3 linked regions of the Notamacropus eugenii genome follow. The protein of the gene in region 2 purifies or fractionates together with the protein of the main gene of each other region. This does not show direct contact. Links are inferred from orthologs where the notes say so. Each region holds a gene or a part of one and is shown on either strand. Other genes may lie near its edges.

What was found.
Region 1: the proteins of BAG5 (region 2) and DNAJB1 purify together in Homo sapiens (affinity purification with mass spectrometry; 3 studies listed by BioGRID and IntAct, with this or other methods). This does not show direct contact. The link is inferred for Notamacropus eugenii from reciprocal best matches to the Homo sapiens genes BAG5 and DNAJB1.
Region 3: the proteins of BAG5 (region 2) and DNAJC7 purify together in Homo sapiens (affinity purification with mass spectrometry; 4 studies listed by BioGRID and IntAct, with this or other methods). This does not show direct contact. The link is inferred for Notamacropus eugenii from reciprocal best matches to the Homo sapiens genes BAG5 and DNAJC7.

Annotation. Positions count from the first base shown.
Region 1 is NC_092875.1:76,447,764-76,451,522, forward strand, and holds the start of DNAJB1 (dnaJ homolog subfamily B member 1), read left to right. Parts: upstream 1-994; 5' UTR 995-1,152; coding exon 1,153-1,363; intron 1,364-2,830; coding exon 2,831-3,411; intron 3,412-3,759. UniProt on the Homo sapiens protein: Interacts with HSP70 and can stimulate its ATPase activity. Stimulates the association between HSC70 and HIP. Negatively regulates heat shock-induced HSF1 transcriptional activity during the attenuation and recovery phase period of the heat shock response.
Region 2 is NC_092872.1:349,352,516-349,356,274, forward strand, and holds the start of BAG5 (BAG family molecular chaperone regulator 5), read left to right. Parts: upstream 1-1,456; coding exon 1,457-1,662; intron 1,663-1,827; coding exon of another isoform or gene 1,828-1,845; coding exon 1,846-1,935; coding exon of another isoform or gene 1,936-1,995; intron 1,996-2,201; coding exon of another isoform or gene 2,202-2,279; intron 2,280-2,508; exon of another isoform or gene 2,509-2,839; intron 2,840-3,759. Other genes in the region: COA8 (cytochrome c oxidase assembly factor 8), read right to left, coding at 1,275-1,649, 1,828-1,995, 2,202-2,279. UniProt on the Homo sapiens protein: Co-chaperone for HSP/HSP70 proteins. It functions as a nucleotide-exchange factor promoting the release of ADP from HSP70, thereby activating HSP70-mediated protein refolding.
Region 3 is NC_092873.1:358,508,282-358,512,040, forward strand, and holds the start of DNAJC7 (dnaJ homolog subfamily C member 7), read right to left. Parts: upstream 2,305-3,759; 5' UTR 2,212-2,304; coding exon 2,126-2,211; intron 1-2,125. UniProt on the Homo sapiens protein: Acts as a co-chaperone regulating the molecular chaperones HSP70 and HSP90 in folding of steroid receptors, such as the glucocorticoid receptor and the progesterone receptor.

The DNA of each region.
Region 1 (3,759 bases), on a different chromosome or scaffold from region 2:
GGGAAGGGCTTCCTGTAGAAGATGGGATTTTAATTGGAACTTGAAAGAAGCCAGAAAAGGTGAAGAGAAGAGAGTATTCTAGGCCTGGGGGACAGCCAGAGAAAATGTTCTGAGCTGAGAGATGGAGTGTCTTGTTTGTGGATCAAAGAGAGTATATGGTTAGTGGTTCAGGACACAAAGTGTTAAAAAAAAAAACATGGAAAGGTGAGGAAGGGAGTTAGATTCTGAAGAACTTTAAACGCCAGAGGATTTTCTATTTGATACTGAAAGTGACAGGGAACGACAGGGTGTGTGACATAGTCAGATCTGAGCTTTAGGAAGGTCGCTTTTGCAGTTGAATTGAGTGAAGATGATATTGGAGTGGAGAGAGACTTGAGGCAGACCCACCAGTCCGGGTGATGGGCTTGCACCAAGGTGGTGGCAGTGTCAGAGGAGAAAAACTGAATACTATTAGAAAAAGCTCCGAATTTGGAGTGGGAAAAGGCAGATTCTTCTTCCTTCTGCCACTTACTAGACACTTTTAAGACAGCAAACATTTATTAAAGGTTTTCTGTCTGTTAGGAGGAGACAAAAAATAAGCCCAGAATTAACGATCTTGCCTTCTCCAAGCCTCAGTTTCTTTTTCTATTCAAGGAGATCTGATCAGATCACCAGTCTCTTTCAGCTCTCTTAAAAGCCAGGATCTAGGACTGAAACCCAGACAAAGGGGCGGGACAGCCTGGCCGAGGGGCGGGGCTTGCTCTGATCCTCAGGTGTGGGCAGAGCACTGAGACTGAGTCTTCGACACCCTGGAAAAATAGAAATTCCAGGAGGGCGGGGCAGTGGGGGCGGGGCTGGTTGAACTAGGTGAGGGTCCCAGAAGGCCGCGGGAGAACTGACTCGCGCTCGGTGGGGGGCGGGGGCGTTGCAAAAGGGAGGAGCAAAGAAGGCGGAGGAGTGCGTCTCGAGCCCGCAACCGTTGACGATCCTACCCCGCCCCAGGGTCACGTGTTGCGATTCGGCCGCCCAGGATTGGGCAGTGCGGCGCGAGGGGCGGAGCGGAAGGTTCTGGAGAGGGCTGGCGGGCTCTGGAAGCTTCCGCCGGGCGGGTATATAGCGTCCGGGCCGGGGCGGCGGCGGAGCCGTAAGGACGGCGGCGGGAGGGTGGGGGTCATGGGTAAGGATTACTACCAGACGCTGGGCCTGGCCCGGGGCGCCTCGGACGAAGAGATCAAGCGAGCCTACCGCCGGCAAGCGCTGCGCTACCACCCGGACAAGAACAAGGAGCCGGGCGCCGAGGAGAAGTTCAAGGAGATCGCCGAGGCCTACGACGTGCTCAGCGACCCGCGCAAGAGGGACATCTTCGACCGCTACGGGGAGGAGGGTGAGTCAGGGGCCCGCGGAAGTGGGAGCAGGCTCATCCAGGAGAGGCCCGGGCGGCGCTGCAGGAGGCCGCCCCCGGAAAACCAGGAGCCGCCGGGCCCAGGGGACGGCGCTCGCGGCGAGGCCTGGCTCCTGCGAGCCTGCGCCGTCAGCCCGGAGCCTCCCTCCCGGGGGACGGGGAACCTCTGACGTTTGCTCGCCCCCTGCTCGCCTCCGGGGCCTGCTGTGGGTTTTGCAATGAGCAAGAGTTACTTTTTCCCTCCTCGTCCCCGGTGGGGCTGCTGGCCCCCCGACCCCCGTACCCATTGGCTACACTGCCCTGCATTCCGATTGGCAGCCTTTCGATGAGAGGTGGAGACCTGGCTGGCTCAGCAGCTGGCTGTCATGTCCGCAGAACCTTCTAGCATGTTTGTTAGTCATTCCCCGAGAGAAGTTAGACCAGAGGCAGGGAGATCTTAAGGTTTTACTGTGGGCCTTCCCCAGCCTGTGGGTGTGAGCAAAGCATCTACTAGTATGTTAGGCGGGGTCTACTTTTCCTCCCCACGCCTTAGCAAACTTGTTTGATGACTTCCCTTAGCTCCATTCCCCTGGAGGATATATTGGAAATGCACCTCCTTTGCTTTCACATGAGAATATTAATGATGGCTGAAGTCAACTCCTGAATCCAGTAGTTAACCTGGGGACATTTCCCTACCTTATTCCAGTAAGAAAAAGATGTAGATGTCTTGGATGTGAAACATATCACAATCAGGAATTGCAGAGCTGAGGCTCGGGCTAGTTGAAGAGTGCTTTGAAAAAGGGGGGATGGGGATTTTTTTCCAACTCTAGTAACATTGTTTTCCCAAGCATTTTATAGACCTTAAAAGCACAGGGGAAAGGTTTTAAAATACTTATGTGGTAGTCAAGGCTCAAAAGGCATCGGGATCAAATAGTAGCCATTCTTTAAAAGGGCTAACTATAAGCAACTGAAAATAGCATATTTTGCCATTTAGAAAGAAGGCTCATACAGAGCTCAACAGAAGTCTTAGTGAATACTTAAGCTAGTAGAGCTTAAAATTGCATTAAAACTTTTGGGATACCTTGTATATCTTGACCTCAAGGAGTAACCAGCTGAAATCTAGACAAGAATAGAAGTTAATAACACTCTGTTAAATTCTTCCTTATTTCTCAGGTTAGCACTAAAATACGGTCCAGCAATTTCCCTCACAGACTAGGCAGCCCAAGGCTAGGATGCAAAAATCTAGCATCTTCATCCTATTGATAGCTAACATACTGTCTGTCTTGAAATAAGATCATGTCTAAATAGGAAAAATAGGAGTATAGAAAGTGGGGCAAAAAAACAATGCTTTCTATTTGTCTAATGATGCCCAAGTTCTCTCTCCTTGACTGGGGAAGAAGAAGGAGTTCTAGAGCAAGAAGAGCTATTTTCTTTGGCCAACAATTTGAATTCTCGTTTTTCCTTTTTCAGGACTGAAGGGTGGTGGCCCTAGTAGTGGTAGCAGTGTTGGTCCTAACGGTGCTTCCTTCAGCTACACTTTCCATGGGGACCCTCATGCCATGTTTGCTGAGTTCTTTGGTGGCCGAAACCCTTTTGACACCTTTTTTGGTCAACGAAACGGGGAAGAAGGCATGGATGTTGATGACCCATTTTCTGGCTTCCCAATGGGCATGGGTGCCTTTACCAATATGAACTTTAACCGACCTCGTCCAGCCCAGGAACACAGCCGCCGAAAACAGGATCCCCCGGTTACCCACGATCTCCGGGTCTCACTTGAGGAGATCTATAGTGGTTGTACCAAAAAGATGAAGATCTCCCACAAGCGGCTTAACCCCGATGGGAAGAGCATCCGCAATGAGGACAAGATCCTGACCATTGAAGTGAAAAGAGGGTGGAAAGAGGGGACCAAGATTACCTTCCCAAAAGAGGGGGACCAAACCTCAACCAACATTCCAGCTGACATTGTCTTTGTTTTAAAGGACAAGCCACACAACATATTTAAGAGAGATGGGTCTGATGTGATTTACCCAGCAAGGATCACCCTCCGTGAGGTAAGGCAGGATCTTTATAGACATACAGCTGTGGTTTATAGTAACGGGATTCTGGACTTCAGTGACCTTAGAGAAAGAGACTTGTGGCTTGAAAGTAACCATCAGTAATGAAACCCAGGTCTTTTTATTCTAAGTTTAGTATACTGTCTGTATCTACTATGCTCCCTTGCTGGAGACATAAACATCTCTCAGCACAATCTAGAGAGGAATCACATGTTTTGATTGCCTGTATGTGGTTAGTCATGCAGATCTGTGCCACACTTTCTGGAAACAGTACAGGGGTTCATATAAGACAAGTTGAAGGGAAAGCTAGTCATCCTTACCCAGTCAAAATCTTTGTAAGCCCTA
Region 2 (3,759 bases):
CAAAGGGAGAGAAAAGACCTAAAAGAGTAAGAGACCTAAGGGATATTATATAGTCATTAGGCTAAAATTAATCACTTGTTTTTAGAATGCGGTTGATCATATCTCCAGAGAAAGCCAGTATGGAAGAAGGTTGAGCTCTGGCAAAAGATGCCATCCTAACCCCTTTTTCCCTCTCCCCCCACAAAAGACGTAGGAGAGATTTAGCTGTGCCCCCATGTATCAGGGAAGACGGGAACAGAGAGGAGGGGGTCCTGGCCAAGGGTCACTACCCACCATAACTAAGGCCCGAGTCAAACCAAGCACCGGCAGTCACCGTCCGACGGTGTTTACTCCTTGTTCTCGACCCCAAGCCAATCCGCAGGGAGCAGCTGCGGAATTCCGGGGCTCAGAGAGGAGCCGGCCTGAAGGGTCCGGAAGCGCCAGGGACAGAGAGTGCGCCGGGATTTGGGGCTCCGCCACGATGCGGGACGTCCAGGCAGCGCTTTAGGAGCTTGGGCCGCGGGAACGTGCGGCTTAGGGCGCGCACACACGACTCCATAAAACCGCATCGAGGTTCGGCGACACAGACACCAGCCGTGCCCCTCCACAGCCGCGATCAGGGCCGATGTCACCGCGCTCCCTGCAGGGCCAGGCCGGTCAGTCACTCTCTTCCGTTCCGAGTGGGGATGAGCAACAGACAGGCGTGGGGTTCAGTGACTGGCCGGCGTGCCACCTCTCACGGGCCCGGCTCAGGGACAGACACACGTCGGGGCTCCGCGACACTCTCGGCCCCTCCCCCCACCCGGCCGAGGCTCAGAGGCAGACGCACGTCGGGGCTCAGTGACTGTCTGCCCCTCCCCCACGAGGCCGGAGCGGGTGCCTCCTCTCTGCCCCTCCCCCCCGGGGGGGGGTCGCGGTTCAGTGACACGCTCCCCGCCCCTCCCCCCACCCGGCCGAGGCTCAGAGGCAGACGCACGTCGGGGCTCAGTGACTGTCTGCCCCTCCCACCACGCCGACGCTCAGTGACACCGAGACTGACAGCCGTCGGGGCTCAGTCACTCACACACTCACACACATACACACACACATATACACATACACTCACACTCACACTCACACACACACACACACACACACACATACACACACACACACGCCGAGATTCGTTGACACCCTCCCGCCGGCCCGGGCGCGGTGGCACCGCCGTCGCTCCCGCGGGTCACGGCCGGCCAGCGTACTTGCCGGGCCTTGCCACCTCGGGGGCCCCGGGCCCGCCCCGCTGACGCCCTGGTTACCCGGCTCCGCGTCGAGTCCTGGGGCTCTGGCCCTTCTTCCGAGCCGAGCCGGCGGCCGTGGCAGGAGAAGCCGCGGCGGGGCGGACGGAGGAGCCCCTGCCTCCAGCCCACCCGGGCGGCCGCCGCCATCGGCATCTCCTCGGCCCCGCCTCGGCCGCGCCGCTTTACGGCAGTCTCGTAAAATGGCGGCTGCGGAGGAGGAGCCGGAGAAGGAGCAGGAGCCCGGGAGCCGGGGGCCGACCGTGTACTCGCCCAGAGGTGACCAGCGAGCGGCGGAGGCGGCGAGGCAGGGCTCCATCTGGCCGCCGGGGCCGCCCCCGCCTGGCGATCCGGGGCAGTGCCGACGCTCGGCCTCCCGGCCGCAGGAGGACTCCTCTGGCCGCAGGGGGTGGGTCAGGCCTTCCCAGGGCGGGGGTGGGGGGCGAGGGAGGCGGAGCGGGAAAGGGGAGGAGGAAAAGGAGGGGCAGGAAGAGAAGGAGAGCTAGGCCGGGCTGCGGGGCCGGGGCCCGGGCCATGGTGGCGCTGGGACGAGTGAGGGGCGGCCGAGCCAGACGGGACGCTTTCCTTTCAGGGTCCGGCTTGAGGTGATAAGAGCCAGGGTGAAGGACTCGGCGGTGGTGACCGACTGCTCGCTGTGGCCCCTCCGGAGCGAGATAGAGGGGTATGTATCCCTCCTACCAGCCCCCACCCCCACCCCCGGACCGGGACCCCCCGCGGTGCCCTGCCGGGCCGGGACCCATCCTCAGTCTTCTCCCCACCCTTTTTTTTAAACCTTCCCTGACAGGCCATTGTCTCTTTTTGTCACCCCCCACAAACTCCCAAAGGCCAGCCCCTCTCTTTTTACTCCCTCCATGTTCCTAGAGGCCGATCCCCATTTTTTCACTCCCCCACATCCCAGGATGCCTTCCTTTTCTCAGATCCCCTCACAGGCCGGGCTCCCCTTCCCATGCCTTCGGAATCCGGGCCCCCGCTTTTTACTTCTCTACTCAGGGTGGGCCCCCCCATCCTTCCCTCCCCAAGTCTTTAGGTCTCTTAGCTTTGGGGGGCCTGGAAGGGGTGTCTCCTCACTATCGTGCCTCCCCACACAGAACCAGTTCTTTCCCCGGTGCTGCCCCCCCCCCCATGACCTCCTTCCCCATGGGAGGGAATGGGGTCATCGATTTTTAACTCACCCCTTAGGAGCGCTGCCGAGAGCCTCAGGAAGGTCCGAGGTCTCCCCTCCCCCATGGCGGACCCTATTGTGAGGTCAGGGCCAAGTCAAGGCCTGAGATCCCCTGGAAGCCAGGCAGCCCAGCCCAGGAAGCCAGGCCGTAGAAGGTGGCCGTAGTGGCCGGTCCCCTGAGCCCTGTGCTCCTTTCAGAACTAGCCGGGGCGGGGTGAAACAGGATGCAGCTTTGCGCTTTGACACCTAACCCGTAAAGGGGCTCATCCATCTTAACGTAACAACTTCTGGAAGCAGACACAGGGGCCTGGCCAATTCCAACACTGCTCAGCAATTTAACATCATTTCTTTCCTTCTGGGTAACTCGAGGAGACCATTGACGTGGTGACACCAGGAGCCCAAGGTGGGAGGTGGCACCTGGTCCAGATCCTCATTCACTTCTGCCTCCCTAAAATTTTTTAGTAATTTTATGGCCCTGCTCTCTGTAAAGCCAATAGGAAGTTTTGAAACTAGTGTTTGTGAGTGAAAGTTCAATTGGCATTAGTTATATTTAAATTAAATAGCAGCACTCTGTCCCATGTAGACCTGATTTGGAGGGAGGGGGGAAATGGCTGTCGTGGAATTTAGAACTGGAAGAGACTTTGGACTTAGATCACCTAATCTACCTCTTCTCCCTTGCATCTTATAGATGAGGAAATTGAATGAAACCCAGAGAGGGAAGTGAAATAATTTACCCAGAGTCTCAGAAATAGGTAGTAGAACCTAGGATCCAGTCCAGCTCTTCTGACTTCAGATATTGCCTGCCTTTCCACTAGTGCTGAATGTTTCAGCCTTGCCAGATTTTTAAAGATAAGGTTTTTGAGATTTTGGAGTGATGGTAGGAAGAAAATAGAAAATCTGTAGATCAGCTAATGATCCTAGGGAATAAGAATTTAGCAGAAATCTGATGTCGGTATTTGGTTTTTGTTTGGAGGGGTGGATCTTTCCTTAAATAGCCTAGTTCTTATTGTTACATTTTCTTTGTTGGGAAAAGGAGGGCAAAGGGTGATTAGATCAAAAAAGGAGTTTTACTTACCTTAAGTTCTCTTTTTTCAACCATTTAACTTTTTAGTGTTATATAAAACAAAAGGAAAGAGCAATTTGATGGCTTAAAAAAACTTTGAAGAGTAGAAACTAAAAGAGTAATGATGTTAAAAAGCTTTTTGTGACCTTTTTTAGTAAGTTGTGCCTTAGTTATTTATTACAGTTGAAGATATTTGAGATACATTGCCCCAGCACCACAGAGCAAACATGTGGCATAGAATCCAAGTCTTCTTGGTTTCT
Region 3 (3,759 bases), on a different chromosome or scaffold from region 2:
GTTCACAGATTTGGAACCAGAAGGGACTCTAGAGGCCCTGTAGGTGAAGGAAGCTGTTTAAATGACCACTGACTTTCAGATGTGTGTAAACAAGAATCTATTCTTTAATAAGGAAGAGAAGGAACAACTCAAAGCCCAGACTTACCCTTATAATACCTCCTATAGAAGCCAATCTGCTGTACATCCCTAGAGGCATCAAACAACAGCTATGCTGCTTTACCACAGAGCCCTCAGGGTAGGCGGGATGTCAACATGGGTAGCCCACTCAAGCAGTCACGAAGATAATGCTTGTATTCTATAGGAAAATGTGAACCTGAGAACGTGAACCACTAGAATTTTAAGCTACGTTATCAGCTCCTTGATTCCTAATACGATGAAGCTCTTCTAGAGGCAAGAGGAACCAAGAATCTCTGCGTAGAATCTCAGTCTATTCTATAGCAGATATTAGCCTTTCGGACTAAAATAGCTTTCATTTCCGCTTCTTCAGGAAAAAAAGAACACTGCCAGAAGGACAGAGCACAAAATAAGTAGTTTCATTTTCCCTTGGAGACCTGGTTAAGAAAATGAAACCTAATGCCCATTTTAAACATGACAACTATTGATGCCTAGACACCAGAGAATTCTAGAAAACCCTTACTTTGCCCCCTGCTGGGACAGTGCTAGCTCAGCAGCAAAGACAGGTGGCAATGATGAAAAGATAACCTTTTCCTTGAGCCAAAGGAGTGCCTGGCCCCAGTGGACATACCCAGCACATCCATATACACAAACACAGCCTCACAAAATCAGCCCAAGGGATGTTTCCCACTTTGTTCCCAAGTGAACTGACCCCGACCAGTCAGGAAAGTGGCTACGTCAGCATGCAAAAGGAGATTTCTAGGGAATGTCCCCAGTTCCTGTTCTCCAATATGGATGAGAGGGAGATACAGGTGACTGGGAGGAGAGAGGGTGAAACTTGTATAAATAGGAAGACAACCTCCTAGGATGCTGAACTCTTCAGCCCCATCTCATTTTCAGCACTGAATCTCCAAACTTCCATTCTGACCTGGTTAAACTTAGTTAATCATGGAGGGCTGGGTCGGTGTACAGTTAGGAGGAAGGCCTATGGACTACTGCTTCCCACTTTGCAATTCCTTAGAAGAATGGATCACGTTTATTCTAACTTCTCAGCTGACTAGAGGACAGGACTGAGGCCAGCCTTGGGGGGTCCTTTCCCACTATGGTACCTGGGCCCTGAGTAGAGTTAAACTGCTCGCAGGTGCTTCGGTGTCTGCCATCACATCGAAATCTCAGGGTGTGAACTTTGGCCATCCTTTGATCCGAGTGAAAATTTAAGAAGGGCTAAATATTAAACTGACCCCACTGAAGGTACGCTTACGGCCAGGGCCTGGGTCACAGGCAGGGGCACCGGAGTCCAGCCCACAGCCTAGAAGCATCCCAAACGGGGCTCTGACTGAGAGTCACAGCAGGGGGAAGGCAGTTCAAATAACAGCCCTCAACAACGTAGCAGGGATCCGGGCCTTCCCAGAAAGACCTCCCGGGGGGCGGCGGAGGCCGGGGCTGGTCCTCTCGGGCCCCTGCCGCTGCCTGAGCCCCAGGACACTGGTGGAAGGGCGGGCAGAAGGGATCGGTGCCCCCCGCCCGATCCGTCCAGAACGTAACACCACGGAGCAAGGCAGGGGGCCGGGGCATGAATGGGCAGCGCGGGATCACCTCGCCGGTGGAGGGGCGGGCACCCGGCGGGGCTGAGGAAAGGGGGAGGAGCAGCGTGCGGGGAGGGGGCCTCCACCCCGAACCCCCCCCAACCCCCTATGAAGAGCTGGACGTCGAGACCCAGAGAGGCCAAGGGGCTCGCCCAAGGTCACACAGCAAAAGCTGCGGGGCCCGGCTGTGGCTGCGGGCGTCCGGAGGCTCTGGGTTAGGGCTCCCCCCCCCTTCCCAACACCTCGGGGAGCCGCGGGGGGGGGGGGGTCACGGCAGCCCGGATCATGACTCCCGCTCCCCCCTCCCCAGCCGCGCGAGGACAGGGCCCAGTCGGGCTGGGAGGGGTGGGGGTGGCGGCCTCCCCACCCCAGGAGCCGGGGCCCGCTCCCGCCCCCTCCCCGGGGCCCGCCGGCGCCCTCGTTACCTCCGGGCTTCCTCGTCGTCGGGCAGCTCGGGCTCGGGTTCGGCCGCCGCCGCCATTACCACATCGCACTCCGCGGCCGCCGCCATCTTACCGCCAGGGCTGGGGAGCCGGGTGGGGGGCGGGCGGTAAGGAGCACTTCCGGGCGCAGGAGCAACGAGCGGCGGCGCCGCGGCGGCCTGGGCGCGCCCAGAGAGGCTCTCTCGGGCTCGCCGGCCGGCGGGAGGGCGCGCGGGCTGCCAGAGCGGGGCCGGGCCGCGTCGGGGCGCTGGGGCCGCAGTGCGGGCCCACAGGCGGCCCCGGCTCATCGGGGGAGCCAGCTTGGACGAGCGTGCGGGGCGCCGAGCGGGGATCCGTGCTTGTCGCGGGCGCGGCCGCGCGCTCGGCCTCAGGGTTCCGAGGGCCCTGTCGCCATGGCAACGCCCTGGCGTTCTGCTCCCTGGGCTGGGCGCGAGAGACCAGGCGACTGGAGGGGCTCCGGGAGGCCGGCCAGCTGGGGGGCTGGCCTCCGGGGCCCTGCCCAGCCAAGCGGGGGGAACGCGGCCCGCTCCTTTCATCCCCGCCCGGGATCCCCGGGCGCGGCGGGGGCCTCCCCCTCACGACGCTCCGACCTGTTTTATGGGCAGCCTTTCATGTGGGCCGCCCGGGGGTGCCACCCGTGCTTTATGGGGGACCCCCACGCCCCTGCCCCATCCCAACGGCTGTCCCCACCCAGCGTGCACCACCCCACAGTGGGCAGTCATCCATGGGGTCAAGATTTAAAGTAACAGAAACGCCTGTAAATCCACCTGGTTTGAAGCGCGACTGATGGCGCCCCCAAACTGTATGACGCACTTGAGGACGGGGATGCACGGACTGACTGGGAGCCCCCGGGAGCAGGGCCCCAGCGCTTAGCCTGGTGCATCTAGGCCCTTTATAGATGCTAGTTGACTTCATTGGGGGGTTGGTTGGCCCGCATCCAGCTGAATGAATTCAGCGAGTTCAGCATTCAATGAAATGAACCACATTATGTGGAGGAAAGAGCTTTGGAAAGGCTCAGGGTTGAGAACTAGTTTTGCCACTAAATCCCTTGTGTGACCTTTATGTCTCATTTGGCAGAAAGATGGAGTTGGAGTAGGTGCTCTCTCCACCCAGTGTCCTTCCAGCTCTAAAATCTAGGATCCTCATAGAATTCCTGATTTAAGTTTCAACTCAGGTGTCAACTCCTAGAGGAAGCCTACTCTAATTCCCCACACCCCTCCAGTTACTAACTAGTACTCTCCACACAGAAATTACTTTGTATAGACTGTGTACATACTTCTCTCCACTCCTCAATATACTATATACTTCTCCAGGGCAGTGACGATTTCTATTTTTTTTTCCATCTACAATTCCTTCTGGGGGTATTCAATAGTAGGTAGCTAATGAGAGGTATTTAATAAATGCTTGGTTGAATGGATGAGTGAATCCTAATCAACTTGTACAGTTCTGCAAACAAATTAAGGGGAATGAGAGATTAGTACATCCTCTACCCCATATCCTTGACCTTGAGATTGCCAGGGCCTCCAGACTGGTCCCAGACTCTCACTCTTGTCCTTTTGGTGTTAAGAGCCTCGGAAATTTGTTGACCATCCTCTCCCTTCCCTTTTAGGGAAAAA